2 linked regions of the Arabidopsis thaliana genome follow. The protein of the gene in region 1 interacts with the protein of each later gene in a biochemical or structural test. Each region holds a gene or a part of one and is shown on either strand. Other genes may lie near its edges.

The links.
Region 2: the proteins of AT5G25440 (region 1) and ZAR1 form a complex in vitro, tested with the Arabidopsis thaliana proteins (one study listed by BioGRID).

The regions. Positions count from the first base shown.
Region 1 is NC_003076.8:8,850,016-8,865,362, reverse strand, and holds AT5G25440 (Protein kinase superfamily protein), read left to right. Parts: upstream 1-8,553; 5' UTR 8,554-8,640; coding exon 8,641-8,698; intron 8,699-8,789; coding exon 8,790-9,043; intron 9,044-9,168; coding exon 9,169-9,304; intron 9,305-9,659; coding exon 9,660-9,802; intron 9,803-9,884; coding exon 9,885-10,011; intron 10,012-10,107; coding exon 10,108-10,388; 3' UTR 10,389-10,648; downstream 10,649-15,347. Other genes in the region: DGR2 (transmembrane protein, putative (Protein of unknown function, DUF642)), read right to left, coding at 1-495, 592-1,089, 1,849-1,933; AT5G25450 (Cytochrome bd ubiquinol oxidase, 14kDa subunit), read right to left, coding at 7,514-7,582, 7,667-7,714, 7,995-8,152, 8,234-8,327; AT5G25430 (HCO3- transporter family), read right to left, coding at 11,104-11,151, 11,234-11,353, 11,443-11,722, 11,803-12,122, 12,206-12,325, 12,401-12,496, 12,592-12,765, 12,848-13,014 and 5 more. UniProt on the Arabidopsis thaliana protein: Together with BKN2/SZE2 and ZED1, required for effector-triggered immunity (e.g. Pseudomonas syringae effector type III HopZ1a) via the activation of ZAR1, thus being essential for resistance against P.syringae pv. tomato DC3000 expressing HopZ1a.
Region 2 is NC_003074.8:18,928,820-18,945,123, reverse strand, and holds ZAR1 (HOPZ-ACTIVATED RESISTANCE 1), read right to left. Parts: upstream 9,451-16,304; 5' UTR 9,237-9,450; exon of another isoform or gene 9,009-9,236; 5' UTR 8,998-9,008; coding exon 6,439-8,997; 3' UTR 6,325-6,438; downstream 1-6,324. Other genes in the region: AT3G50990 (Peroxidase superfamily protein), read right to left, coding at 519-937, 1,179-1,344, 1,425-1,616, 1,712-1,969; XERO1 (dehydrin xero 1), read right to left, coding at 2,403-2,606, 2,908-3,090; LTI30 (dehydrin family protein), read right to left, coding at 3,718-4,299; PLP3a (thioredoxin domain PLP3A-like protein), read left to right, coding at 4,898-4,981, 5,118-5,192, 5,267-5,314, 5,400-5,542, 5,629-5,701, 5,793-5,854, 5,941-6,038, 6,124-6,233; AT3G50940 (P-loop containing nucleoside triphosphate hydrolases superfamily protein), read right to left, coding at 9,596-9,964, 10,052-11,038; BCS1 (cytochrome BC1 synthesi), read right to left, coding at 13,577-15,307.

The sequences.
Region 1 (15,347 bases):
CATCGATCACAGGCCCACACAATGACGAGAAATCATCGCTCCTCATGGCATAGAAAGTGCTGTAGAACATAATTCTTGATCGGGTCGAAACCGCCACAAATCGAATAGAAGCTCGTTTAAACCCTCCTGTGCCTTTCGACTCGTAAGGGACCTTAAGTGTATCTTTTCCTGCAAAAGCCTCAACCACCATTGATCCTTTGCAAGCATTGTTGGCGTCTCCAACCGCAAAAGACAGCACGTAAGTCTTCCCAATGACAGTCCGAACCACTTGAGCGATGGCACTCTCTTTACCCGCTACAAGCTCAATAGCTCTGCGACCCTGTGGGACTGAGAAATGTTCAACGTCTACGTACTTGACAGCTTTGAGAGACTCCACCATCCATCCAGGTAAAGGAGAGTGGTCGTCTTCTATAAACGGTGGGATCAAAACTCCAGTTGTCGAGCCGGGTAATACTAATGGACCTTCTTCAAATCCTCCGTTTTTCAAAATGTTCTCTGCCAAATCAAACATAAAAGAAAATCATCATTATTCACATGTTCAAGGATTATAAAAACAGAGCAAGAAACAGAGTATTTATAGTAATGACTTACTATTAGTTGGTCTAGGAGGGTAAAGAGATCTCATAGCAACACCATCAATAAGTGGACCACAAGCTGGATCTTCCTCAACACCAGGATTATGAATCACAACTTCAGCAACATCACTCTCAGCTTGAAACGCCCAAGCATATAAATCCCAACCACTACTACTATAAACCGTCTGAATCGGAATCACACCGGAGTCAGGTGCTACAGATATGTTAAGTCTCTCGTCTTGTGCACAAGTTCTAGCAGCACTAAAAGTGAGTGAGTAATACATTCCTTTAACCACTTTAAGTCTTTGTTTGATCGATGCTTCGTTCCCAAGTCTTACAGCGAATTTACCGGCGGGAACAACGAGAAGCATGTCTCCTTGTTTATGTCCTGATTTAATGTATTCGACGAATCCTGTGACTTCCCAGTTTGGTATTGCTAGTTTGTTTAGTATTTCTGTTCCTTTCATGTCTGATGGTTTTGGTCCTAGCTCGAAGTCTCCGTTTGGTAACATGCCTGTGGATATTATCAAAATGTCCTTGTGAATATTAGGAATTTTGGAATTTTTTTAAAAGAAAAAGATATACATAGAGCACGTGAGGTGTGTCCGAAGACAGCCTAAACTGGTCCTAAATGTAACATGAACTAAAGGACCTACTCTCAACTTCATTGATTGGAAATGTCCAAAAACTTTATGGTGTTGTGTTTGTGTCAGAAACATGGGCAAAGGAAGCTGTAATTTTTATTACATCGTCTTCTTAAAAAATCTAAATTTTAAAGCGTAACAAAACGAATATTTTTATTTGTTTTTAAGTACTATCGCTAGCAGAGGCAGGTTCGTACTAGTGATACCAACAAAGTTATGATTCATAACCATTCAGAAACTTTTTTTTAGGTACCAGCATTATATTGATTATTCATATCACAATTATAATTATAAGATTTTATTTCTCGCTTCTATATAAAATTTTGAGTGAAATGAGTTTTTGTTCCCACTAAATTTGTGAAAATAAAAAATAAAATTGCCATAATTTACTGTACACAAAGGTTGAAAATTGGATTTGAGGTACAATTTAAGCTTTTTTTCTTCAAGATATATCAACATAAAAAAAAAGGTATGTTAATATACTTTGAAGGAAAAAAAAAACTTGAATTGTATAGTACCCCAATTCCAATTTTCAGACTTGAAAGTGATAAATCAGAACTTTGTTATTAATGTAGTAAACCGGAATATGTAATGAATGTATGTGTATGTATATGTGTAAATAGAGTTACCGTCACGGAAGGAGACGGTGGACTTGGCGGCCATGGCGGTGGCGATGAAAAGAAGGAAGAAAGACACGACGGTGACGCCTTCCATATTGACGGAAGAGAGAACGAGATGAGTGTAAAATGTAATTAGCAAAGAGAGTTGTGGCTATTGCTTATAAGGGGATAGAACTATGAAAATGACCTTGGAGGTTTCTATATATTACGAGTGTGTGCCACTGTGGCTAGTTGGTATCCCACGTGGGGTTGTGACCTCATTCCTTTTCAGAGATTTGGAACCTTATTGACCATTTGGGGTTACTTCCGGAATAAAAAATTTGTAAAAAAAAAGTATTGTTTTGATGCAATTATATTTGCTGTTTATTGAGTCAAGCTCTGTTTAGGCTGTGACTGGGGAAGCCAGAAGTGTCCAATTGGGACAGGTTTGTAGATGATTAGAGGTAATTGCGTATAAACAGGTAATGGGCAGGAGTATTTAAATATATTGCTAGAAATATACGGAATAAAATATTAAATTTACTAAATACCGTTTTGGCTCGGATTCGGATAGTTTTAATCGTATAGTTTTGATCGGATTCGGATAGTTTAAATCGTCTAAATTACACTTCGAATTCACTAATTCTGATAAATTTTCACATCTTTAAGATATGAATATTTTGGATAATTTTGAGAAATTGAAAATATGTGTTAATGTCTAATCTGTAAATTAAATTGTAAATAAAACAAAAAAAATAAAATGAGTATAGGTCGGATCGGAAAAAGTGTTTCAAAACCGCCTGAAACTAAAACTACCAAAAACAAAACACTAAACATAACTATAAACTTATGATCATGATCCCTTATCCACATGCTATAAACACTTAAGTCTAAGATTGTGAAAATAATTGAGATGTTTTTTAGTAATCTTACATCTGAATCTACGTGACAAATATGATTAATTATGATAGTAACTGGGAAATGCCAAATTGGTCGTTTAGATCATCGGTGGACAGATACTATTACTAGGAGAATCGTTTATCGTGGCATGTGTTACACCCACAAATCTCTTCCTTTTGAAACTTTTTTTTAAGTCTTTTGTCTTCTTCGTGCTCTTTTTTGGTTTGTTTCTTGGCTGTATTTTTAATAACAAAATTGAGAATAGTCTATGGTATTAAGGGCGCCGTTCAGTGGCTAAGAATGCGGTTTCCAAAGTCGGCCATGAAGTTGGCCTCAGAAAAATTCAGAATCGTGTCTTCTTCTCATTCTTATCGTCCCAAGAAATTGCATTTTCTAAAGGATTTCATTTTTAAAAACAAATACTCTAAAATCATTTCTAACTACCTGTCTTATGTTCGGTTTTTGGAATTTAGCTCCGCCAAAACCACCAATATATGCGTTCTTTACTCTTAGAGATCAATATTCTAATCAGGTGTGCTTTACGTTTTTGGTCTTAACTACACGTTTATTTTAGTGGCCGAATCATTAAACAAACAGGATGTGTTGCTCTCTCTTTAGGGATATGTGTTGTAGGAACGATTTACGAGAACGTTCATTCGAACGTGAGGATGAGGATGTACACTACTTCGCATGGTCACGGTCATGCAACTGTTCTGATGCGACTGTTTATGGCATCGAAGATTTGTACATTCTTCTATCAATATGCCATATTGTTTTGTAAGAAATGGTATTGATTTTGATGTAGTAGTTTTCTAGTGATATTTGTTTTTGAGCTAAATAAATTCGAGATATCGTTCTAACGATTATAATAAAACCACAAATAGTTCCCACCTTATATAATATGACTTGATGTATATATTTTACTCATATCTAGTGTGGACTATCTATCTTTTCTACTACCTTGTTGATTATAAATTTAAAACCGTGTATTTCTACACATACTTACGGTTGAAAATCTAAAATGGCTAGTCTTATTTGTAATATTTATCATATATCAGAAAAACGTAACACGTAGCTCCAATGAAAGAACTGTTTCTAATGGATCCAATTAAATGTTGATTAGGACTTATAAGACCCAAGTTCGAACAAACAACAATCACTATTTAAAATGTTGAATCTAAAAAAGATAAACAAGTGTATAATAAGAGTGAGAGAAGAACCAAAAAAAGACGAGGAACCGTCGAAAACGTGGGTGGGGCATGGGTAACGAACGTAGTGGAACCCATACAAAAAAGAAGAGATCAAAGCAAAAGGCAGGATCATGGCTTTGTCTCCTCTTCATTGTACATTTCTTTTACTCTTTTACGGGCCCATTTCCTCATGACTCGATCTCTTGTACAGAGAAGAGATATCGATAACCTTTTTTTGTATATATATTAGTAGGTCCGTTATAATTATATAATTTATATTGGTAAAGACAAAATACTATTTGAGGTACGTTGTATTCATATAATATACGTAGTATTAGGTAGGGATGTTGAATTCAAATTTTTGTTTGATTTTGGGTCGGAGTTTCCAGTTTAGGTAGGGATATTGCGTGATTTTGGAAATCCCTTTGATTGACGAAAGGTTTATTAATGTTTTTATACCAAAAAATTTGAGGTTCGAGTCCCAGATACTAAGATTTATTAACAAATTTGCAGATTAATGGAGGTAAATGTACATGAGATCTCCAACGATGTACAATTATAGCCGTTCGTCAAGATTCTACGTAAAGAGGATCATTGAATATGTCTATCAAAAGCATGGAGAAGAAGAAGGAGATATCATCTCTCGTAGATCTAATAAGAGTCGTAAAAATTGTTCTGGGTAGAATTGTATATGAAACAGTTCTCATAATTTGCAATAAATAATAAATATAGACGGCAAAAAAAAACCCAAAAAAAATTAAAATTTGATGACTAAGACCAAATTGTTTTTATTTTAAGATCAAACATCCCTAGTATTATTAGGAAATATATTTAAAATTGCATAATTCAAAAACAAAGTTAACAAAATAGATAGTTTTGAACATGAGAATGAATTCTTTTCTTTTTTGTGTAAAGATGCTGAAAATTTAAATAATTAAAAACCGTATTTTTTATATAATTTTTTTTGAATCGTATCAAGATTTTTTAATAGCAATAATTCTTACTTTTCAAATATTGCGTAATTTTAGTTTGTCCCTCTAAATTCGAAATTAGAAGCACCAAAATCCTTTCAAAACCGCATAAGAGACAAATGATAGTAAGACTGATTGGTGGAAGTGTGGCCATATACTATTGTTTTAACATTTAGCTACATAAATTTGGCTTTTTGGAAGCTAGGCTATAACTATTTTTTAAAATCATGCAATATTTAATAAATCTCCGCAAAAAGAAAAATATTTTTTTTAATAATCATCAGTAATAAATAATTATTGGCAATTTGGCATTTGGCAAGTGAGAGAAAAGAATAGGAGTAAGTCTACTCACATTTAATTGAACATTGTCATTTTATTTCTGTTAAGTAATTCATTAATGAATTTAGGCAAAGGACCCTCCTGTGCTAATGTGACTCACATGGAAATGTCTTCAAATACAAATCCATATCGTTCTCTCTACTGACACCACTCTATTAAATACTTTAAATACCTTATCTCATTCTTATCTACCTCGACACTTATTCACTAGACCGTGCAAAGCATCGTTGTATATATATGATTCATGTAAAAAATGTTTAAAAGTGGCATCTTTGAGGAATTGTGTAAACATTAACATCTAACTTAATGATCAAGTTTACATTACACATCAATCTTATGTATAAGTTCAGTGTTTAAGTGAACCGTACATAACCATAAAAGGTAAAATTGTGTGGTAGATTGGAGCCTAAAGAGCCATAAGGAATGTTTGGTTAAGTGGGCTTTAGTTATATAGTACAAGAGACTAACATGCTTAAGGAATGTTTCTTTGGTAGAAAGGTAATGCTCCCGAAGCCTCTCCCGCTTCACCTGCATATGAAGTATCGTGTAAGAACTTTGCAATAAGCCCCCTAACACTACAAGACAGAGAAAAGTTCATGCTACAAGACTACAAATTCATAAAATTATATAAACTATTATTCTTTGATCATTATTAGCACAAGATATGAATATGAACCCTACGAAAAAAAAAGATATGAATATGAATATGAATATTTGTGTATATTAAATCAAAATTGGCTACGACAAAAAAAAAAATTCAAAATTGGCTATGGGAAAAAGCTAATTATGTAAGGTTGTTCACAAAAGGGCTCTTTAAACACAGACGATTCTTGATCCTTATACAAGTCTTATGTTCAATCTTGCAAGATCAATTTAAACTACAAACTTGAATATTGTGCTCCACGTCATAGGTTTAAAACTATAACTATAAACTACAAAAGTTGGTGGTTCCCTTGTTGACATTTTCCAACGCGTTGACATTTTAACACATTGACTTGAGACGTCCATATACTCAATGGCTTACTCCAGAACCTTGAAGCCCGGTGGAGTAGATCTAGATAAGTAAGGTGAATCATCTTCTTCCTCAAACTCTGTTTAACTGTCAAGAAAGCGGATCTTATAGGCATGGGAAACTGTTTTCTAACCGAACAACTTGCAACAATTCCAGGTATATATGAATCTGTGTGAGGAGACACATCAATCCCAAGACGTTATCTCCATCTAAGGAAGGTGTTGGCATGGCCATCGCCGTTAAGAGATTTTACTTAACCTATGAAGAAGCCTTGCAAAAGTGATTTGTAAGAAATTAACCTCTACGAGAGAGACTGATCACTCATATATGTATGCTTAACACGGCAGCCGAGGTTTGTAGGTTGACCTAGAGTTTCTACGACATAACCTGCATCCAAGCTTGGTCAAGCTCATTGGTTACGGTTCGGATGATAATTGTTGTTCATTGTTTCTGAATACTTTCCAAACGGAAGCTTAGAGCGTTACATTTATAGGAGTAAGCAAGCTAGAAAATTGTATTGAGCGCATTTCTTAGAATTTACTACGAACCTCCTGAATACATATTCTCAGGTAAGTCCTCTCTCAAGCTACAGAATGACCATTAAAATTCATACACTAACCTAAAACTGATTGCACGGTAATACGCATATACAGGGAGATCACACATGGCGGGCGATGTATACAGCTTCGGTGTTATACTATTTGAGATCTTAACTGGTTTGGGAAACCCGTGCATCATCTTAGCAGAGGAAGCAACAGAGAATAGAAAAGAAAACATTGTGGAAATGATCGATCCAGATTTAGAGAATAGCTATCGTGTTGAAGAGGGGATGCGTATGTGCAAGCTCATAAAACTGCCTTGAAAGAGATCCCAAGGAAAGACCATCCATGCAACAAGTGCTAGATAATTTGAATGCTATAGCCCATATTTGAGAGGACAAACTAAGGGTTATAAAGGATTGTGGTTCAGAGGTTACACGCCTCTCTTCAGAGCTCCTATGAGGAACTGTGAAAACATTTCCAAAAGCTAGCTTAAGGGTTTGTGTGCCTTTATGTCTTTATGTAGCATGATTTACTCTCCTCCTACCGGTGTGGGATATTTTACTCATATTTCTGTAATAGCTCAATCAAGCTTACATTACACATCCAATTCAATCTCATAAAATCTTATACATAAGGTTCACATATCCATGCATAACCATACAAAAGCAAATTGTGCGGTATTGAAGCCTAAAGAGTACTAAAACAGTGACCCTACTATAAGCACAAGAGAGACTAACATGCTTAAGGAATGGTTCTTTGGTAGAGAGGTAAAGCTCCCAAAGCCTCTCTCTCAGCTCTCTCCCGCTTCACCTGCACATGAAGTGTCGTGTGTTAGAACTTTGCTATATGATTCTTCTATCACTACAAGATAGATAAAACTGTTTTTGTTCTTACAAGAGCCAACATGTCTTGGAGGTAGCTCCTGAATGGAGTCTGCACTGCCTGTGGAATTACAGAGACAAGGAAAAGAAAAAAAGATTTACATAAGCTTCCTATCTCACAACTAACAAGCACTATCTCAAAAAAAACTTCTTTCATAGACAAGATCTTACAAAGCTTATCAAGTTACAATTATATTACAGAACCAAAACAGGTTTCTGAAAACAGAGTGTTCTTGATCCTAATACAAGTCTTAAGTCAAATCTTGCAAGCTCTATCTACAAACTCCATAGCTATATACCGTTTTAGCTCTGTTGTCACTTACTTAGAGACTAAAACATACCTGAAGATTATCTGGGAGGTATTCATGTTTCATAGAAAGATCCATTGCACGCATAAGACGCTGGTTCCGAGCATCAACAATCTCTCTCGGTAAACGATTAAGAGCTTCTTTAATATCCAAATCATACAAAGGATCATAAAGATCGTCGTATCTAAGACCTAAAAAATCGTAAAATTCCCAAAATCAGCCAGAAGAGAATTAGGGTTTGGTTTCTAGGGTAAGAGAGAAAGAAAGAGTACCGTATCTGCGGAGGCGATTAGAAACAGACTTCATATGCATACGAGCTAAGAAATTCTTCCTGGGATCTACTAGTCTCTGGAGAAACGACGCCATTATCTTCTTCGGAGTAACGTTGAAGATGTGAATTGTGATGAAACCCCTTCGCCGCTATTTGTAATTTAACCCGGGAACGAAGAAGGAAGAAGCATCCAGAGACATCTGTTTAAACGCCGTCGTATGAAACTCTAGCCAAACGGCGTAGTATGTACTCTTATCAAAAAACGGCGTCGTATGACTCACCAAATAAAACGCGTCAACCGTTGACTCTCAAACGCGTTTTCGTTGACTTTGCTCCTCGGTGTGAAAAACTAAAAGTCCTCTCTTCTTCATTGAACTCTAGTGTTAAGATTTAGCAGAGAGTATCCGAATGGGAAATTGTCTCTCAGCTTCGACACTTCCCACCGAACCAAATGCTCCCAAATCAGGTATACATATATATATTTCTCTGCGGATTTAAGTACTTTTGATTTGAATGTTACTATAATGGATATAAGTTTTGTTATAATATATGTATAGTGGAGGAGGGTGTGAAAGTCTTCACGGTGGCAGATCTGAAGAAAGCGACTAATGATTTCGGAAACCAGATGGAACTAGGAGAGAGCTTGGGATACATCAATCCCAAAACGTTATCTCCGGCCAAGAAAGGTGTTGGCATGGCCGTCGCGGTCAAGAAAATTTACTTAGCCAATGAACAAGCTTTTCAAGATTGGCTTGTAAGTAATTATATCATCTCAATCTATAGGAGAACCTTCGGCAAAACCAATAATATTGTTAAGTTTCTTGTTACTTATTTATTCTTCTAAATTTTTTGATGTTTTTGGATGGTAAATGTCTATGTTGCCTACCCCTAGAGATGGGTCAGTGTGTCTTAACATTAGAGATGATATTTTTGTAGGTTGACGTAGAGTTTCTACGACATAACTCTCATCCAAGCTTGGTGAAGCTAATTGGCTACTGTTATGATCGTGATATGTTGTTTATTGTTTCTGAATACTTTCCAAATGGAAGCTTAGGAAGTTACATCAGTAGAGGTAAGGAAGTTAAGTTTATTCATCTCCTTTTCGTCATTATATCTTGTGAGTAGACTCAAAGCAAGAAGAATCTTGCTCGAGCAAGACCCAAAGGTAAGAGCTCTTAATAAGAGCTTTAAAACTAGATCTAAAAATTGAGATAGCTCATTAGAGCTTTATTTAGTGGAAGTGAGGAAAATATACTAATTGAAGAACACCAAGCTAAATGATTCCTAGATAATTTAATATCATAGAGAGGGAATAAAGAGAGTTGCTCAAATTGATTTCTGGAGCTCTCACGAGTTTACGATCTTAACCTTAGATCCAATAGTAATTCATCTTCCTTTTGGATTTAATGGTTTATATAATATCATAGATAGTCGTCCAAAGTCATTGCCGTGGGAGACACGACTTAAGATATCCATAGGAGCGGCTCAGTGTCTTGCCTTCTTGCACTCTAGGAAGCAAGCCGGTCTATACCGCAGATATCTCACTGCTTCGAAAATCCTGCTCGACTCGGTTTGTATTCACCTTGCCTTTTTTGTTTTTTTTCTTGAATACTTGCTCCTTACCTTTAAAGTGACATTTATGGGATATGCAGGACTTCAACGCAAGAGTTTCCTATTTTGGAAAGCCAAAAGTTTCTCTCGATGAATTGGTATACACCATCGGGTTTTCAAATGTAGCACCTAGATATCAATACCCACCTCCCGAATACATACTCTCAGGCAACAATCTTCTGCTTCTTCCTTATATCTTAAAGTTAAAAGTGACCATTAAATTCAAAGAGACTAACCTTAATTGATTGCACTAATCAAATGAAGGGATGTCGAACATGGCGGGCGATGTGTATAGCTTTGGTGTTATACTACTTAAAATGTTAACTGGTTTAGGAAAAGACCTCACAATCTCAGCAAAGCGAGAAATAAAAAATAAAAAGTACAACATTGTGGAGATGATCGATCCAGATTTGAAGAATAGCTATCCACTTGAAGCGGGAAGACTTATGTGCGAGCTTATTAAACAATGCCTAGAGGTAGACCCGAAGATGCGACCAACCATGCAAGAAGTGCTAGATAATCTGAATGCTATAGCTCAGATTTGAGGAGAAACTATATAAGGGTTACTAATGCTGAAAACATTGTTTCACTATAAGACAGTTATAACATAGTCAATGTATGCATTTGTATACAATAACTCGTATATGACGAGAAGTATTAAGAAACAAGACCTAATTCTCCATTCTTATCCATCACTCAAGAACAGAGCTATATGCTAATCAACTTTGAACCTTTACACTATACAATGATCATTATCTTCTTCGACCTCTCTCTCTGCAATACGTTGAAAATATGATTACTTTGGAGCCACGCTATGTGTCAGAAGAATAACCGAGAGATGACGTGTAAAGCAAAAAGCGTTGTGAAAATCTTTTATCTCCTCTAAAATAACTTTGACTGGTGTACCATTGTTATTCTTGCTAGCTATTAACTGGTCTTGAAATTTGGCGCATTTTTCTTGCAAAGCAAGCAATACGAGGTGACAAGGTATTCATGGCAGAGGTGATCGATCCGGATTTAGAGAATAGCTATTAGCTATCCTCATGAAGCGGAAGACATATATATAAGCTTATAAATAATGCTTTCACCGTCACCCGAATAAATGGCCATAATGCAGCAAGTACTGGATAATTTGAATGCTGAATAATCTCATATTTAATTGCTGAAACAAAGTTCCACTATAAGGAAAGTTATAACATAGTCAATGTATGCCTATGCACAAATACAGTTGTGTACAAAAACAATTGCAAAAGATTCTTTTTAATGTGGTTCAAAGGTTACATGCTTCTCTTCAGGCTCCGGGTGCACCTGAAACAAGATTCTTGTTTATATGCATTTTTTCATATCAATGCTTGGATTGTGTAGAATAGATATAATTTGTTTTTATTACCTCTTTAAAACTTATGGTTCGGATCCTTATTTCACCTCTGCTTGTAGTCATCTCATCCAATATCTCCGCGTCGTAGAATTCATCTTCACCTTCTGATAAATGATGAGAAGACCCTAGTTTCTGCTCACAAAATGGTTTAAAGGTATCACACACGTGTACACAAAAAGCCCCTGAATCAGTTTAAACTCATTAAGAGACCAAAGGTTTACCCTATATGCGAAACTTGAGTGTTGGATAGGTGCTGCTACTATTTCTTCATAGTCAGAAGCATCTAACACTTGAAGGTGTTGCATATCGAATAACTTGGGAAGCAAGTGTTCTCTTATACTTATAAGTAGAAAGAAGAGTGCGGGGAAAAATATCCCGGCCATAGGAATCCATGTCATACCATAGCACAAGAGAAAATAAACCAACTGGAAAAGTGTGAATGTTACAATCACTCTGTATGGTACCAACTCCACAAATGAAGCATGCACTCCTTCCAAGACTCTGCATTTAGATGAAACCAGTGATTGAGAAAGGCAGACCTTTCTAAAAATAGACTAAAGAAAAGATATATATTAACTAACTTGAAAAGCCGGCTAGGAGGAATAAAGAGAAGCAACAATCTCTCCCAAAATTGGTTTCCCGGGAGACTGTCTATCGCCATATAAGCAAAGTAACCCCAAAGTACTGAACTTGGGATCATTTTAATGACTGTCACTGCAAGAAGTGTTAAACCAACAAGAACTGATTGCAAAAGATTGCTCACTCTTTGCTCGTTTACTCTAACCGGTAAATTAGCCTCTATATGAACATCGGGATCGAATTTTCCTTTTGTATCGCCTCCTTCGTCTGGTCTCATCACAACTTCTTTCAACTCTTTTAAATCTGTTGCTACAGAATTATCCTGCAAAAAATTTAAGGTTCTTTTTTTTCTTTAATTTCAAACAATTTCTTTCTATAAATATAGGAGAAGGCATTATTACTAACCTGAGGTGGGGATGTCTCCATCTCTATAAACACTGATTGCATTCTCCCATATATTTCTGATTTGCTTGCTTTCATTTTCATACACTCCTTTGCTTTCTTCACCATTTTCTTGCGTATAAGCTGCAAAAAATATATCATCATCTCTGTTTCAACTCTCCTTCTTCTTCTCATATATATATATGTATTTGTTCTTACTTGACGATTGAGAACCGCAAGACTCTTTGTGTGCATTGGAGCCTGAGGAAGAACACCATTTGAAGGTGGAAGTCCAAGTAGTCCACATATCAAAGTCTATAGATCACCACCATAACAACAAGATTTAATTGGTATTTATGCCATGAAATAAGTATCTTTGAAATAAGTTTTAAGAACATTTAAGAACTAACAATAATTCCAAGCAAGAAGATGTCATAGTGATAAGCAGAAGGATTCTTTAGATTAAACTCTTTCTGTTGTGCCATTTGTGAAGCTACACTATGGTCGAAGAAGTAAAGTCCTGCTATCATCACACCAGGTATAAACGCAGCTAAGATATACATTATCGGTACCTTCCCCATGTCCTGTATATAATAAGTTTTGTATTCTATAAGTTTTGCATTTGTATTGATCACTCAATCATGTTTTGCATATCTTTAATCTTACCTTGACTACAGTCCAATGATACAATGAAGCTGGCTCCCATGGAAGAGGACAAAACAGTCTCCGGGGAACACTTGGAAGGACTTCACTAGGAACTGTGTAAGACAATGCCGTCCATAACAAGACCATTAAAGGAACACCGTAATCTCCAATGAAACTTCGAAGCCACCCTATAGTTATAAGTGGTCTAAGTGAATATCAATGTACACTTTTCATGAACTAATGTAAATAGACAATGACGTACCAAAACCATATTTCCAAGATTTTGCTCTCCTACTCTTTAGCGCGGTGATTAGAAGGCCTAGCGAGAAAATTACCGCAAGCAAACCATTTGCATAAATCAAGAGGAAATGAGATTTCCCTGTTTCTTGATTTTTAATCTCGGGGGCGTGAAACTCACTGATCAATCCCTGAAAACGTATTATAACTAAGTATGTTACTTGTTGACTAAGTAACCTAGAAAATGAAGTTGGTTATACCTTTATAGCTTCTTGTAAAAACAGAACAGCAATCAACATGCCAAAAAGTTCCCCAGCGATTCTCGTAAACCTCGTGATGATTGTGCCCGCGTTAAATATCGAAAGAAGGATAAGCAAAACTGAAGTCCATACACAAACCCTATAGAAACAACATATAACAACAAACTCTTAGAAAGCAGATTACATGCACGTACACTAACAAGATTATTGATTTGTTGTGATCATTACCATGCAACCCAAGCTAGGTAAAGTTCTCGACCGATATCCGGTCTACTAATGCAGAAACTGTAAAGATAAGTATACATAATGATGGTTGGCTCTGCAACTCCAACTATCAACAATGGTTGTCCACCGAAAATCGCATGGATGATTCCGCATATCGAAGTAGAAGCTAATGTTTCCACTGCACTTAGAGCTCCACCTTTCAACAACAAGTTAAGTAAAAATCATCAAAGTTAATTCTTTAGGCGATTCATAAAAAAGCAACATGGAAAAGAAATATTTATATATATACCTGTATGTTTACTTAATTGTTCACCAAAGGCAACTACAGGAAGAGACGACGCAAAGAAAATATAGCAAGTCGGAGCCAAAATTCTAGTGAAACATTGAAATCAAGTAATTCAATGTTTGGCATCAATATAAATTTCAAGAAAGATTGAAATATAATTAACCTTACCTAATACCGGTTTTTATGCCACGAATCCAATCTTGTTTGTAACATTTTCGTCTACCTTCGATATCTCGAAGAATTCCCTGAAATGGACCACTTTCTCCTTCACTCTTCATTTCTGCATCAAACGAGAGCACCTAGCGTGTTACGCACGCATTCACAATTATAACCTATAACAGCAGACCATTAGAATAAGCTTCTAAACATATATTGATGATTCGACTTCGACATACCTGGAAAGCTCAAGAATCGAGGAATATGTTAGACAGAGAGGGAAGACATCAAAGGAGATTCAAAAAAAGACAAGACAGAGAAACTTTGAGAAAAGAAGAATGGTGGGAAAGACTTGTATTGCTGAGATGGCATAATCTCATTGGCTGGAAATTAATAGCAAAATTTGTTTTTGGTTGCTGTTAAGGGTAAATGGTAAAAATAAAAACATGATTTATAGTTAACCGCGTAAATTTTTCCACCTATGATTCTAACTTCTAACAGTTTCAACAATAATGGTGTTATAAAAAGTTAAAAACTAATTAACCTCTATGACACGTTAGCATGTTTAGTTAGTTTGGATGATAAATAGTTTGACCTTTATTTGGTTGATAAAACGTAATTAGATTTTCTAAATTAATACTACGTATATTAGTGTATTCTTAATTGGCGTTCTCTGTCAAAATGTTCACTCAAATACTTTTGAATTTGTGAACTAAAACGTTTTCATCCACTGACGTGGGTTTATCCAGCGGTAAATCGGTGCTAGCTTCGACGGTCGTTGGGAAAGGATAAATTTAATTTTGTGTGAGTTCTGCCTCTAGAAAATGTAAGACTTTTGAATGTCCATTGACATAATCTATTAAAGGAAATGACAATTTACTTGTATATATTAGGTACCATTTATATCAAATTTATCACTAAACATTTATAAATACGATTACATTTTGATACTAGTAAAATGAAACAAAACAATGTAAAAGCATGAATACATTTTTTTTAAACTATGTTAAGTATATAAAATGTTTTTATGCTAATTCGATTTCAGGACCAATATGGCGGTTAATTTTTGGTCCGCACCACTACGGACATGATTTGTGAATGGTAAATAAAAATTGGTTCAGTCCATATTTTGGGTACCCGAAAATATCTGAAATATGATTATATATTCAAAAATATTAGTTATTTTTTAGATCGAATAACTAAATTTCCAAAATTATAAAAAATATTCAAAAAATCAAAAATTACCCAAAATATCCAAAAATATTCGAAAATATAGAAAAATGCCCCAAAAAACTAAATTATCAAAAAATATTTGAAAAGAATATCCGAACGGATCCTAAACTTAAAAGCCGAAAGA
Region 2 (16,304 bases), on another chromosome or scaffold:
GTCTAAAGCTTTTTTATGTGCTTCTTTGAACAAAAGCCAAGAGTGTAAAGTTTACTCCAGAACACAACTTGTAAAAGTGCGACAAATTTGTTCATGTGTCTCACTTCCACTTTGAAATTTTCTAACAACAAAACAAAACTCCTTTACAACATCACTCCTTATGTTTCTAGGGCCTCTTAAAAACATTCCGATACTTCTAGTTTAGATGTTTAAGTTACATCCATAATTTCGAGAAAGATATTTCACCTAATGGAGTTGTCACGTCAAAATTTGTATTGTTGAGTATAGGCACATCACATTCCAAATTCATTAGCAATTTCAGTTGCCATAAAAATCGTTATGTTTTTGACGTTTTGGTATACCATACAATCACCAAACTCATAAATTAATTAGAACAAATAAAAATAAATTAAACACAATGGCAACAGAAATCAAATTTAACAAAAAAAAAAAAAGATTAACGTTAAGTCGTTAACCAAACGCTTAGGACTTTTAACTATCCAATAATGGAAACTCTCTCAAACATCATGGTTAACCCTCCGGCATATCCTCCGGATCTCACCATCCGTCCCCGTCAACGGTGAGATGTTCCCCATCTTCACCATCGACTTCGCAAACTGCTCAAAGAACGCTCCCTCATTCTCCGCGTAATACTTGACCATCTCCATAGTCTCTATGCTTTGCGTGAACAATATCTCATCAGAACTCAAGAGTCCTCTAAAGTTCACAAGATTCTTGTAGTAGTAATTGTCAAACTTAGTCGGCGTCACATAGTCAAGATTAAAGAGGTTCTGGTCGTTGCCCGAAATCGGACATCCCTGCTGCAACATAGAGGCGTAGTCTTGATTCAAAGTCTGGTCGGGATCGTTGTTTCCAGTATGGTTGTATAACCTTTGTCGGAAACCAATACACCTTGAGTTTCCTATCGTGTGACTCCCTACATTTGAATCATGGTTATTAGTTCAATTTAGAAATGATAATTAAATTTATCAATGTGTTAGTTTTTAGGGCATTTAATCTTTAATAGAGAGATAAGATAACTTTTCTTATCCAATCACAAACATCGTTATTAACATTTATTTATACTTTTAATTAGTTTCTTCCATAAAATCACAATTGCTTTAAGACCCCTTTAAATTCAACCACATTAATATCTTGGACGAGTGTAGTATATATACCTAAGAGGGCAACAAGATCGGTGAGATCAAGTCCTTGAAAGTTGAACATAGTGAGAATTGTTTGTAACGTGGACTCGGGAGAAGGAATGTTTTCCATGGAACCAATCAAGCTTGCTTCTCTTGCATCTCTTCTTCCAAGATATACTTCCCAACTAGGTCCACCACACTGTAGATAATTACAAAAGTAACGAGTGTTTGTATCAATTATATATCAATCCTAATGATTGTGTTAGAGAATTGACTTACAATAACAATAGAGTCTCTAGCAACGAGAGCCAATAGATCGGCGCAAGAAACTGTTTCAGGACATTCATTTTCCAAGGCAGACTTGATCTCGTCAATGACTTCGAACCCTCGAGCAGAGTCTCGATTTGCATTTGATCGTTTCTCGCTTTCCATGGTTCCACTACTGTCCAATAGTACGGAAGCATCACATCCCTGCACCAACCAGAGTATATATATATCAAACAACATTTCTCCTTATTTAAATCAAAACATTATATATCTGAAGAATAGACTAGATTTTGTCAAACATTGACGAAACAGTCGTGGAAATGGAGCCTAAGAATTGAGGCAGCCATGCGAGGGTCATTGAAGTATGCATTGGCGACGTAAGATTGAACGATGGCTTGTGCGTTTGGGCACGAGTTCTCGTAAAACTGAGGGGATAGAGAGGCTACAGAGCTCGTGCTTTGATGTGTTTGATAACAAATACATAGAGGAAACAGCGCAACAAGTGAGATTTGAGAGAGAACAATGCCCGCCATTGACTTCACCGTTTTTGTATTCATTTGGACTCTCAGCGATTATTGTGGGAATGACGATGAATGCATGGTTGGATAATTTATAGAGGAAGGCGTCACCAAGTATGATTTGTCACGTCAACGTGGCTTTTAATTTGTTGGATGGGGGGATACATTAATTGTGAGTGTTGGTTTGGATATAAGATTCGTTACATCTATATATAGTTACCGATTTTCACTCCTTCTTTTGTCTTCCTTTGTGTTGGGAATAGAAAACGTCAAAATCCCTTTGTTATTTTAAATGGGAAGATGTCGATTAGAATCGTGAACCCACCCGTGTGCTAACATTACCTTAATTTGTATCACTCAAAACAATAGAGCCTGAGCCATAAATGTTACGAAAAAGAGAGGGTTTATAATTTATTCCATGCAACGACCATAAGCGTAACGACCCACACCAAACAAGTTAATTAAAATGAAACTAATGATGACCACCCGGAAGCTTCTCTTTGATCTTCTCCATCATGCCTTTCTTCTCGTGGTGAACGGTGCCGGTATCATAGGCCGTCGTTGTAGAACCTAAAGAAGAAGTCTTGTTGGAGTCGTGATGACCCGGCAGCTTCTCTTTAATCTTCTCCGTTATTCCCTTCTTCTTCCTCCTCCTTCCACCTAGTCCATCATCCTCCTTCATGCATGAAAATCGTCAGAAAAATTAAAAAGCTATATGTATTTGCAACACTTTCCATATTTTATTTAGTAATTTTAAATATATGGTATACCTTGAATATAATTCAAATTACAAACAAAAACTTATCATTTGAACACAAAAAATGGTTTATAAAAAATATGTAGAGTTAAATCTAAAATATGGTTTCCTGATTTTTTCTAGTTAGGTGAAGTCAAATTAAATGAAACTTCTTGTATTTGGTGATATAGAAAGAGTACACTAAATATTGCAAAAGCAATTGCGTAAAACAGAAGCATACCGAGCTAGAGCTAGAGCTACTCCCAGAACGGTGAAGCATGCCACTTAAACCACCACCTTCAGCCACGGCTGGAGCTCCACCGGCAGTTCCATAGGCTCCGGTGGTGGCTGGAAATGGATTTCCAAATTGGTCAAGCTGTTGGTGAGTCTGCTGCGCTCCGGACTGGTTTTGGTAAGACTCCATATTCCTTTTACAATTGAACCTTTTTTTAGCTATAGACAAAATTAAGACACTGATGGATAAAGATGTATACGCTCTTGAATGGTATTTTTATAGAACCGCAACTTTGGATAGGGATCATAATCACATATAGTATTATGATTATTATCAAATTGCGTTGAAGTGACACACGTGGCGATTACGTAAGACGTTGGTTTTGTGGTTAGTGTGACACATGTCCGTTATAATCGACACACCTCTTTTAACTCGATATCCGTAAAAACAACTTATTTGGGCCGTATGGGCCTGAATTGAAAACCTGAGTAATATACATTGCCAAACAACTGCGGTCGTTTCCCTGATAACTTGTATGCAAAAGAACATATAAACTTGTAAAGAATTGAATTACCAAATAATTACATGTGAATTATACGTGGTTGTATGTGTCACAACTCACAAGTATTTTAATAACATGGAATAGTTGAAGCGATAGAAAGATAAATAAACGAAACCAGAAGTAGATATTTTATATTAATTCAAAGATCCATCACTTACATATATTATTTAGCGACTCAATGAAAGAAAGCCACATCATCATATTATTACACCACACAAATACTTAAAATAAGCTTAAACAAGTTGTTAATCAATCTAGTGATGACCACCGGGAAGCTTCTCTTTAATCTTATCCATCGTACTTTTATTTTCATGGTGAACAACGCCAGTATTACCATAACTTGTGGTGGTTCCAGTTTTGTGAGTTCCATGATGACCTGGCAGTTGCTCTTTAATCTTTTCTGCTATACCTTTTTTCTCATGGTGAACGACATTAGTGTTAGTACCATAAGCCGTGTTAGTCCCAGTTTGATGTGACCCATGATGACCTGGTAGTTTCTCCATAACTTTTTCGGTCACACTTTTTTTCTCGTGGTGAACACCACCAGTGTTAGTAGTACCATAAGTTGTGTTGGTTCCAGTTTGGTGTGATCCATGATGACCTGGCAGCTGCTCCATAACTTTTTCCGTCATTCCTTTCTTCTCGTGGTGAACACCACCGGTACCAGTAGCACCATGATGACCTGGCAGCTGCTCCATAACTTTCTCCGTCATCCCTTTCTTCTCGTGGTGAACAACACCAGTGTTAGTAGGTCCATGATGACCTGGTAGCTTCTCCATGATTTTCTCCGTTATTCCCTTCTTTTGCACTCCGGTTTGATTCTGGTGAGAATTCATTTTTCTTCTTTGAATCGAAAATATACTTCTTTAACTCTTTTCTTTCTTAGGTATATATAGATGAAATATTCAAGACTTTGATCGATGAAGATTAATGATCTCTTGAATGATACTTTTATAGAGATGCAAATTTCATTTTGGATAGGAATTCATCATCACATAGATATTTTACTCAATACGTGTTGGCCGACATCGTAAAAGTAATATATTCAATTCGTAATTGATTAAGAGTCACACACACATGGCAAGTAAGACGTCGGTGTAGTAGTGGTTAGCGACCGACGTAATTTTAACTTATATGGGCCTGTGGGCCTTTAGATATGAAAGGCCCAATAATGCATATCTTTTACTAAACTAAAAAACGATGTCGTTTGGTATGTTTCTTCCACCTTTGTTGTTCATCTTTTGATTTTTTGAAATTGTTAGTAAAGAAAGGAAAAAAGCTTTGATTTCGATTTCTCAAGCTGTGTTTTTTTATTTTTCTTCTTCGCATCAGGAAGGAATTGAAAAAGGTATGATTTTGAAGCTTTAGCTCTCATTTATCTCTGAATCCTAATGCTTTTTTCATGCTGTTGTTTCAGATTTTTGGTGTTAAAAGATGGATCCAGATGCAGTCAAATCGACTCTCTCGAATCTAGCATTTGGAAATGTAATGGCGGCTGCTGCAAGAAATTATCAAAAGGTAAAGAATGTTTCTCAATTTGTTTTTGAAATAGTGATAGACTTTATGAGTTTTTTTGATGTTTCTTTGTCTGAGTAGATTACCTGTGAGGACTTACTTGTATGGTTTTGATGAGTTCTTTATATGGGTTTTGTAGGAAGTTCTTGCAAATGAGAAGGCGCAAGGATCAAATCCTGTTAATGAAGAGGTTGATCTTGATGAACTTATGGATGTAAGTGCAATGTTGCTTGTTGTGACTGTTAAGCGTAGGTCTCTATGGTAGACTTATTTGTCTATGTTCTGTAGGATCCAGAGCTAGAAAGATTGCACGCAGATAGGATTGCAGCACTAAAGGTTATAACTTTGGCATTGTATTGTGGCCTATATAGTTATGCAGCTTTTGGTATGAACTAAAATCTTCAAGATTTTATCTTGACAGAGAGAGGTTGAGAAGAGAGAATCGTTTAAAAGACAAGGGCATGGTGAATATCGAGAGGTGAGTGAAGGAGATTTCTTGGGTGAAGTCACCAGGAGTGAGAAAGTGATATGTCATTTCTACCATAAGGAATTTTACCGGTGCAAGTAAGATCTCTCATCAGCTTATTTTTTGTTCGTCTTCTGATATGTATATGAGCTCATAACCAAACATATTTACTGCATTACTGTAGGATTATGGACAAGCATCTGAAAACTCTTGCACCTAGACATGTGGACACAAAGTTCATTAAAGTGGACGCAGAGGTTAGTGAACCATTTGATGAAAGTTTTATAAGAGGAAATGGCTTTTCAACAATCCTTTGCTGAAGCTAATGCTTGGCTGAAATAAATGCAGAATGCTCCTTTCTTTGTCACGAAGCTTGCAATAAAGACTTTGCCTTGCGTTGTGCTTTTCAGGTTTCGCCTCTTTCTATTCCTTCTTACATACAGGGTTTGTTGTTAGGTGTATACTCATAAAGTACGAGTTTCTTTACCATTCTTAGCAAGGGAGTTGCGATGGATAGGCTAGTTGGGTTCCAGGATCTGGGAACCAAGGACGATTTCACAACGAATAAACTAGAGAACGTTCTTCTTAAAAAGGGTATGAAGAACCTCGGTCCCACCTTTTTTTTATTATAACGGCCCAGTTAGAGAATTTTTGCTTAAAGAGTGCAAATCTTTAACAGGAATGCTCAGCAAGAAGAAGAAAGAGGAAGATGATGAAGACGCCGAATATCAAGAGAGCATACGGAGGTCTGTTAGGTCTTCAGAGAATCTGGACTCTGATTCTGACTGATCAAGCAGTTGACATCAAAGATCTGCCATTGCTGCTAGTCTCTGTTTTCCCTTTTTGCTCGTTTGTTATATGATTATTAGAAAAGAAAATTGCGATATGAAATCCAAACGGTCAAAGCAACATTACATTGTATCAAGGTATATGTAATACACCAACTTATTGTCACTGTTTAATAAACATTGATCTAGTTGCTTAAAACGTTTCATCAGGTTCTGTGCAATGGTGTTTTCATCCACACTCCGCCTCTAAAGCCAACATCTTCAATCGCGAAAGACTCTAGCTCTGGACACCAGTTTGCGGTCACGGTCCTCAGGTACGGCATTGACTGTTGCAGCACTTCCCAGTCCATGTCTAGGTCCGACAATGAACTTAACATTAAACCTTCAATTCTCCAGTGAGTATTCTCGTTTCCCCAGAATGGTTCCTGCATTTTCACCAAATTACCTGAACATATTGACATGTACCTCAACATCGGAAGCTTGTGAGGACTCAACCACGATGGACTCGACTTTCCAGGATAGAATTGTAGAGAAAGCTCATGGAGCTGGTGTGGAGGAGTAAGGGCGTCTATTTTGGTTATGAGATCATCGCCGTAGCTATCATAGCAGTTGATCGAAATGGACATCAGCTTGCTTAGGTTTATCAAAGAATCAAGCTCCTCCTCTTCTATCTGATCGCCACGAGTCAGAGAAAGACCAAGTTTCCGAAGGTTTGTGAGATTTTTCACTTCACTGAGCTTGCACCCATTGTTGGACCTGGCTGGCTTAAATCCCAACAGAACTTCGAGCTTCACGAGACTTCCGATACCCTTGGGGAAGCATTCAAGGGATCCACAGTTCGTCATGTCAAGTACAAGGAGTTTCTTGAACAAGACGATGCAAGGTTGAAGTTGTTTCAGATTCTGACAGTAGCTTGCGTCTAGAATCTGAAGGTTGTGGAGATCTTCCATGGAACGAGGAAACTGGATCAACGGATGTGTGTTGCTCAAACTAAGACATGCTAAGTGTTGAAGGCTTGCAATCTCATCCAAAATCTCAGACAGAGGAGCATCAAATATGGATTTCGAGATATCGAGAACCCGAAGATATTTGCAGTCTGTGAATTTCTTAGCTAAGTCTGAGTTGAGCTTGTTCACTTCACCTGTCTTAGTTGTTGACACTACGCCTCTCAGCTTATGGTTAACTTTGATCTGCTTCTCATCAAAGTTTCCACTAATCCCAAGGTGACGACAGTTGAGGCCTTCCGGGTTAGAGAACGAATCCTTCTTGGCTATATCGATCACCAAATCACGAACCATGTCATGAATCTTGCAAGTGATGATGGTTCCGCTATAGGTTTTGTCTACAACTTCTATTAGACACCTGTTTGTGAGCCCGGAAAAGCAGTCTTCTCCAGATTCAGTTGCAGATCTTCCGTTTCTCCACATGACAAAACCTTCTCCGATCCATCCATGTACTAGTTGTTGTTTTGGTATAACACAGTCTTCTGGATAGAGCGAAAGCGTGAGAATGCACGACTTAAGGTGGGAAGGGAGTTCATCGTAGCTCAACTGCAGAGAAGACATAACATTGTCAGTTTCAGAAGTGTTTCCTCTTAGCTCATCCTGAAAATGCTCTGCAATTCGTCTCCATTCATGATAGACATGGTCTTTGCACAGAAGTAACCCACCAACCGCTTTGATTGTCAAAGGCAAACCTTTGCATTTCGTTACAATCTCCTTGCCAACATCCTCTAGCTCGGGACGCTCACAAGTACCGTCATTTGCTGCAAATGCCACATTACAAAACAGCAGCCAACTGTTATCAGGACTAAGGAGCTCTGGACGGTGAGTCTTGTCGTCTCTCGCTTGCACCCTTTTCGCTACAGATTCCGACCTTGTGGTCACGATAACGCTACCTCCTTGTCCTCTAGGCAGTCCTTGGTAGATCTTGTCCCACCAGCTCAAATTCTTGTCCCATACATCGTCCATAACTATCAAGTACCTTTTCCCCAAAAGATACTGCTGGATTTTTCTCAGCAATGTTCCAATATCATCTCCAACACTCGCGTCCCCCAAGTTCCTCAATATGCTTCTCATGATCTGTTCTTCAGTAAAAGTCTGGGACACAGACACCCATATCCTTCTTTCGAAACGATGTTCGATCTCTTTGTCATTGAACACTTCTTGAGCGATTGTAGTTTTACCTAGCCCTCCCATCCCAACAAAGGCCATTATCAAAAGCTGGCTGTCGTTTGATCGAAAGAGCCACTCCTTGATTTTTCTTTTATCTCCTTCCAAACCAACCACCTGAGTATGATCATACACCGGAGAGCTCCACCGATCAGTTCCATTATCTCTTCCAACATTACTCGGCGTTATGAATTCGAAATAAGGCTCTACTTGACTCTTTATTTTCGTTATCCTCTCATTGATCTCTTGCAAACGTTTGCTTTTCTTGTACTGCAACGGAACCCGGGCAGGATGAAGCCGCGAAAGCCACGCATTTGATGACCTTTGCTCGTTCCCATCATCACCATCCGCGAGCTGACAATCCACAAGTATATCCTCAGCTTCGTAAACCAGTTCTCGTAAATCCGCAACAAGAGTACGCAACGTTTCATTAGTTCTCTTCTGCCTCTCTGCATCCTTGAGAAAAGACTGCATATATTTCAATTCGCTTTGCAAATCTTCCAACTGTTTTCGGTAGTCCGATACGGTTCGGCCTTTTTCTTCGAGGATGTTCAAGGTTTTCTCTAAAAACACTGTTACAACAGCGTCCACCATTTACTCAGACCCTGCAACTTCAAGAAATATCTCTAATTGGTAAACTATAACCAAGCAATAATTCAATCGGTTATGTGTATCATCACTAGATTGAACTTTCCAAAAATCAATCAACCAACGACTATAGAATCTCAATAACCAAAAGATTGGATTATTCTTTAACTAATCCATATCTTCTCAAGAAACATGTAGAATCCTAGAACATTGAAACAAATCTAACCAAAGTAAAGTAAACTTACAAGGTTGTGACTTAGCCTTAGCCGAGAAGGATCTGAAGCTTCAGATCTTTGGATTTTTTTAGCAAAACTTGTTTCAGAAAAATGAGCTTACATAGAGACTTTATCGAAATTGAAGTCAATGGTTTAACAAGTCAAGAGTCAACCTTACTCGTTTTCTTGGTTACTGCTGCCGACTACGAAACTTGTCTCAATCTACTTTAGAATCTTATCATTGAGTTTAGACATGTTCTGACCTCATAAAACAATATCCGCATTTCACTTAGGAAAAAAAAAAATGATTTCACTTTCTGTAACATTTTATAACCAATAATTGCATGATAGTGTTTAACAAAGAAACAAATAAAAGAACTAAATTTCTTCTAAGCTTTTGAATTATCTATTTGCTTCTTGGCTTTTAAGAACTCAACAAGTCCTTGGAGTACTTTATCCACAGAGTCACTCCTCATCAGTTGTTCAGCTACTTCTGCTGGTGTAACTTCAATTTCTCGGATAAATTCTTCAATCTGCTCGAAAAGTATATGATCTTGAATCTCGAGATAATTCGAAGCCAAAACCTTAAAAGCAGCTGGTGTGCAATACGACATGTGAATGTGCATGTCCATACGTCCTGGCCTCAACAATGCTGGATCCAATTTTTCTCTGTAGTTAGTCGTAAACACTATAATCCGCTCGTTACCACAACTTGACCATAGTCCGTCTACAAAATTCAATAGACCAGAGAGTGTGACCTGAAAATGACTAACCAAAACATTAGTAATGCTAATAAGCAAAAGATCACATAACAACATAACTGATAGTGAATCAAAATGCATCACCGTTTTATGTAACGGATCGTTGTTTTCTTGATCAGTAGACCGATCTTTTAACTCGATTGAACAATCTATATCTTCCACAACTAGAATGGAACGATTTGCAGTAGACATAAGTAACCTCCGTAGCTCAGCATTGTTGTTAAGTGATGTCAAGTCTAAGTCATAGATATCGAAGTTAAGATGATTAGCTATAGCTGCGATCAAGCTTGATTTTCCAGTACCGGGAGGACCATACAACAAATAACCTCTCTTCCAAGCTTTTCCAACTCTCCCGTAAAAGCCTTTCCGCTGCACGAATCGATCAAGATCCTCCACCAAGTTTTTCTTCACCTCGGGATCCAGAGCGAGAGTGCGAAACGTGGAAGGATGATCTAGAGTCACAGAGGTCCACTCCACGGAGTAAGAATCAACGGTGAAGATCTTCAATGTTTTAAACTTTTGTTTAATAGAAGCAGCTTGTTCCACAACAAACGGTAAATAAGATTCAAGAACCATGTTCTTGAACTTCTTTCGGAAACTAAGCTCGTAACTACGCACTTCTGATTTCAAAGTGGAGTTGAGATCTCTCGGGTTACGAAAATCCTTTTTATCGACATGGCGACATACAAGGATCCAACTAAGCTTGACGCCATCAAAAATATCAACAACTTCCTCATCACGTTCAACAGTAACACTATAATTGCTCTGTTTCTCAAGTTTGTTAACTTTGATTCTTCTAGTGGAATTAGATATCTTGGTGGAGAGATAAGCCTCTGCAGCTTCAAACACTTGGTTGTGTTCAAAACCTCCAAATTCTTCTATTACAGCTGTCATCTGATAAGAGAAGTAGCTGAAGAATCTGCGAAAGCCGTGAGAGATATATTCATGAACCTCGTTTGGCATGTAATCTTGAACCACTGATCGAGCTAGTATTGCGGCTGCAGCAACTGATGCAACCGCTGTGAGAGCTGTTTTGGCGGTGGCTAGATGAGATTCACTAGAGGAACTCATCTCCTTCAATCATCAAAAATAAAATAAATACATTCAAGTCGGTTCTCATAAATCAAAGAGACAAGAAACTAATCCAAAAAAAAATCTGATTATAGAACAATAGTACTGTATTTGTTACTAGGTTACGTGGGGATAAATCTGATTAGGTTAAACAAACGATGCTATTCTTTTGATAATTTTACGATGAGCACACAAATTGGAATCTTAACAAGTAAAAAAAAAAAAATGTTAAGGTTAAGGAGAAAATTTGATACCAGTTCTTCTCTTTTATTTGATGAAAGGCTTCTGCGATCAATAATAAATTTTCACGAATACCTCTGATCATAAGATTGAGATAATTAGGGAATGAAAGATTACTATTTAAATGGTGATGGAACACTAAATGAATGGTCTATAGTGGGCCAAGATTACGGCCCATTTGATAAAGTATCGTTAAAAATGAAAACTTGATAGCCCCTACAGACTTCTAGAGTCTGGTCGCTGGCTCGCTGCAAAAATGCAAAGTCTTTGCTCCTTAACATATATGCTGACTTGTCTTTTATACTTGAAAATTGTAATAGTAGTTTTAATGTTAGAATGACATGTTAGCAAAATATTTACTTTCTTGAAAAGTAATTTTTTCTTTGTTGAAAATAATTTGGATTATATTTCGATTTATGCGTGTCTTATGCGGACTATACTAATCTTTTATGTATCGTTCCAATTTTAATAGATGTTCTTCGAGACAACATTTTGGAAAATATTTCTAAGAAGATTGTTTTATTTTTGATGATTCTTTACAAAATATCTAATAATTGGGTTTTTTCAAGTTCATATATGTTTCTGCATCCTTTGTTTGATTTTTTTCTTTGTTGATTTAACTATGCTTGTGTTTAAATTACTATAGTGCTTACCCAATAGTAATTCAAATATCTCTCATTTGACTTAATGATATTAACTAATATAGAATCTAAAAAATAAAACATTATGAAACAAAATCTAGAAAATATTTTTTTATGAACCGGAGGAACTAATGTAAGATATTAGACTAATACCAAGGTTTAGTTATAATAATTTTCAAAGTATAATTATGCTATATAAAAAAATTATGGTAGAAAAAATCTCGTTCGATAAAACAAAACTAAAGAGAAAAACATGCAAAACGATATTTCTTCTAAGCTAGCGTCTTGAAGGTAGAAGGATGGTTAAGAGTAACAGAGGTCCATGGGTCTGATGAGTACCAGTAATCTGTGTCGAGAGTGAAGAGCTTGGGCGTTTTCTTCTCTTTTATTCACCTTTTTTTGCATTAACCAATAAAAATATGTTATAAATCCTATTTAAATTACATAATAAATTAAAGCTATAATTATAATCCAAACCGATATAAAATCTCGTTTAATTACAAAATCTAAACTCTAATTTTCCTTTATAAATCCAAACCGCTATTTAAACTCATTTAATCGTAAGAAAACTAAACTTTAATCGTATTTTCTAAACCCAAACCGACATTTAACCTCGTTTAATTGTAAAATCTAAATCTGTTTATAAAACTAAACCAATATTTAACCCATTTAATCAGAAAATCTAAACTCTAATCGTACTTTCTAAACCCAAACTGATATTTAACCTCGTTTAATCATAAAATCTAAACCCTAATTTTTTCTAATAAACCCAAACCGATACATAATTTTGTTTTAGTGGCAAATTAGATTTTATAATTAACTTTCTATTATTGTTATTAGGTGTCCGATTTTAATTAGGTAAAATAAAAGAAGTTAATATAAAGTTCATTCAAATATTTTTCTTTATTTATTTGTAAAGCATCTAGGACTGACGAAAAAAAAAAAGCATCTAGGATTAGGAGTCAAAGACAAAAATAAATATAAACACGAAAAAGGAAATAACTCGAAAAGGAAATGACATTTAAAAGCCCAATTTTAAGGAAAAATAGAAATTGAGGAAAAGGAAGAAGATCAATTATACATCTACAAAGAAAGGAAGAAAATTAAAACATGTACGGCCCATTTAATAATAGTATTGACTAAACGAATTGTGTAGTGGTGCCAAAATTTTGGCCCACTTAATTAGTGTCAATTCCTTTTCTCGATACAAGGAAGGAATCATTGAGATTTTCTTTTTTGTCGGAATCATTGAGATTTTCAATTTCACAAATGTGGCTTGAAGATATTATTTTATCGGTGAGATAAAAAAAAATCAACTGTCATAAATTAAGATTCGGAAAGTTAAAATTTAACCTTTTTTTTTTTGTCGGCAAACTTTTTTTTTAGTAGCTTAAAACAAATTGTGCTAAAAAAAGTTAGAAAAAAAACAGAGAGAAAAAACAAGCTAAACGCATAGTTTTGTATAAATACACGTGCTCTTCTCTTTACAGCTACCACTCGGATGCAGAGGTGTTTTATCTGATCTCCTCAATTTTTTCCCTTTTTTGGTCTCAATCTCTCTAAGATTATTTTATCTTAGGACTAGGTTTATAAATGAATCTGTAGATTATAGACAGTAACTGGCGATTTAATGATTTAGGTATTGATATCTCACAAGTTAATGTTGTTCAACCTCCTCATGTTTGGCTTTATCTTGGTCGTCCTCGATCTTCTTGGCTTTTAACAACTCGACCAAACCCTCAAGAACCTTATCAACACGGTCATTCCTCACTAGCTGTTCATCAACCTCTTTCTTGACTACGGAATCTGTTCCCTCCTTGGTCTTTTTCTTGTTCTCCAACTCTTGCTTCTCTGTTTTGGCCTTATCTTGTTCGTTTTCGATCTTCTTGACTTTCAAGAACTCAATCAAACCCTCAAGAACCTTGTCTACAGAGTCATTTCTCATAAGCTGTTCAGCTACTTCTGCTGGAGTGACCTCTGTCGCCTCAATACCTTCCTCGATCTTGCTGAAAAGGCGGTGCTCTTTGATCTCAAGATAGTTCAAAGCAAGAGCTTTGAAAGTACTTGGTGTGCAATACGACATGTGGATGTGCATATCCATACGTCCTGGTCTCAGCAAGGCCGCGTCGAGTTTCTCTTTGTAATTGGTTGTGAAGATTATGATCCTTTCGTCACCGCAGCTTGACCATAGACCATCTATGAAATTCAACAGTCCAGAGAGTGTCACTTTTTTATACCGTGGATCTTCTATATCGTCAGATTCCCGAGGAGGTTCATCGCTAGTCCTATCTTTCAATTCTAGTGAACAATCGATATCTTCTACGATAAGAATCGAACGATTAGCAGTGGCAATCAATAATCGCCGGAGCTCAGAATTGTTGTTAACCGCGGTCAACTCTAGGTCGTATATATCAAAGTTGAGATGATTGGCCATGGCTGCGATCAAGCTTGACTTCCCTGTGCCTGGTGGACCGTACAGCAAGTAACCTCTCTTCCAAGCTTTACCAACCCTTTTATAGAAGTCTCTTCGCTTTACGAATTTGTCTAGATCTTCCATCACACTTGTCTTGACATCTGAATCCATTGCTAGAGTTTTGAAGGTAGAAGGATGGTCAAGAGTAACAGAGGTCCACGCGTCAGAGTAGTTCCCATACATGTTTTCTGGGGAGAGAGTGAAGATCTTGAGTGTTTTCTTCTCTTGCTTCATCAACGTGGCTCTTTTCACCATGAATGGCAAGTAAGATTCAAGAGCTACGTCTTTGAATTTCTTGTGGAAGTTGAGTTCGAATGATCGGACCTCAGATCTCAGTGTGGAGTTTAGATCCCGTGGGTTGTGGAAGTGCTTGGACTCGACATGACGACAATGGAGGATCCACTGGAATTTGACGCCATTGTAGGTGTCAACAACTTCTTCGTCACGCTCCACGGTGACATTGTAGTTGTTTTCTTTCTCATGTTTACTCACTTTGATTCTTTTGTTAGAAGGAGAGATCTTGGTGGCTAGATAGGCCTCTGCAGCTTCAAAGACTTCATTGTGAGCAAAACCTTCAAATTCTTCGATGATTATCGTCATTTGGGATGAGAAGTAACCAAAGATGGAACGGAATCCATAGGAAATGTAGTGATGCACCTCGTCAGGCAAATAATCTTGGACTAAAGATCGAGCTAGCATTGCGGTCGCAGCCACCGAAGCCGCGGTGGTGAGAACCGTCTTAGCCGTGGCTAGACGGGATTCGGCGGAAGAAGAGTCAGAGGAGCTCATCTTGTTTTGGGTGTATTTGTGTTTTTTGAGTTTTGTTAAACCCAAAATCTCATAATTTATATATAATTGGTGGGAGGTGGGAACCGGAGACTTATGGACGCAAGGAAGTAGCTTGGATCCTTCCATCGCTACAACGTGGAAGTTGCTAACTAATATATAGAATAACAAAAAGAAAGAAGAAGAATAGAAAAGTAGAGTTTAAGTGGGCTCCAATGACTTGTTCATGAGGTTTATTTGACTAATCGAAAAGAATATTAGTAAAGAAAGACTGACTTAACGTGTGGGTCACGCTTCTTGTAATTTAAAGTCATTTCCTTTCAATAAATCCAAGAACAGTTAATATTTGTATGTATATATACATCACAATTGTATACTACTATCAAATCAATTCCACCAGATTCTTAAAACGTCCTTGTCTATATGATATTTCAGCTGTTGTGTGCTTGCGTCAAGATAGAGAGGACATTCATATATCCATCTCTCTCTTTTGTATCATTGGACAATAATGCAAAAATGCTAAACCCTAAAATAGTGTCATTGAATAGCTAGAGTTGGTATAGGCTCTTTATTGGAACAAGAGTTTATGTCTTTCTAAAGACAATTGGTTGTTCAAACAAATTCAGAAACTAGTACCTTGGGATCACTAATCTGAGTCAAGTGGCCTAAACAGAGTTACCTACTGAGAATGGATGAAAAGTGGCCTAAAACCTTTTGGACATCTTTAGGATATATCTCATGCATCAATATCTGCTTCTTCCGTGGAAAGAACAACACTCACTGATGTTACATGATTTTCTAATTTAAGATCCTAGATACTATTTCATACATATATATATATATATATATATATTTTGTTTTCAAGCTCGACATTTCTCTTACCAATAACTATCTGCTGCGTAAGTATGCAGATAGGATAATCCTTGAACAACACCCTTGATAATGCAATTTCTTTTCTCCCAATTTAGCAATGAACTTTGTGTTTTATCTACCGATCGATCATAAAACATGTATCAAGTTAATTTATTTGATTCAACAATTAAGAAACAATTCAGGCCCGGTTTCTAAATAAGGCCCAAATTCTAAGTTTTGTTTTTTTCAATGTATAGAATAAGACTGGTACTTT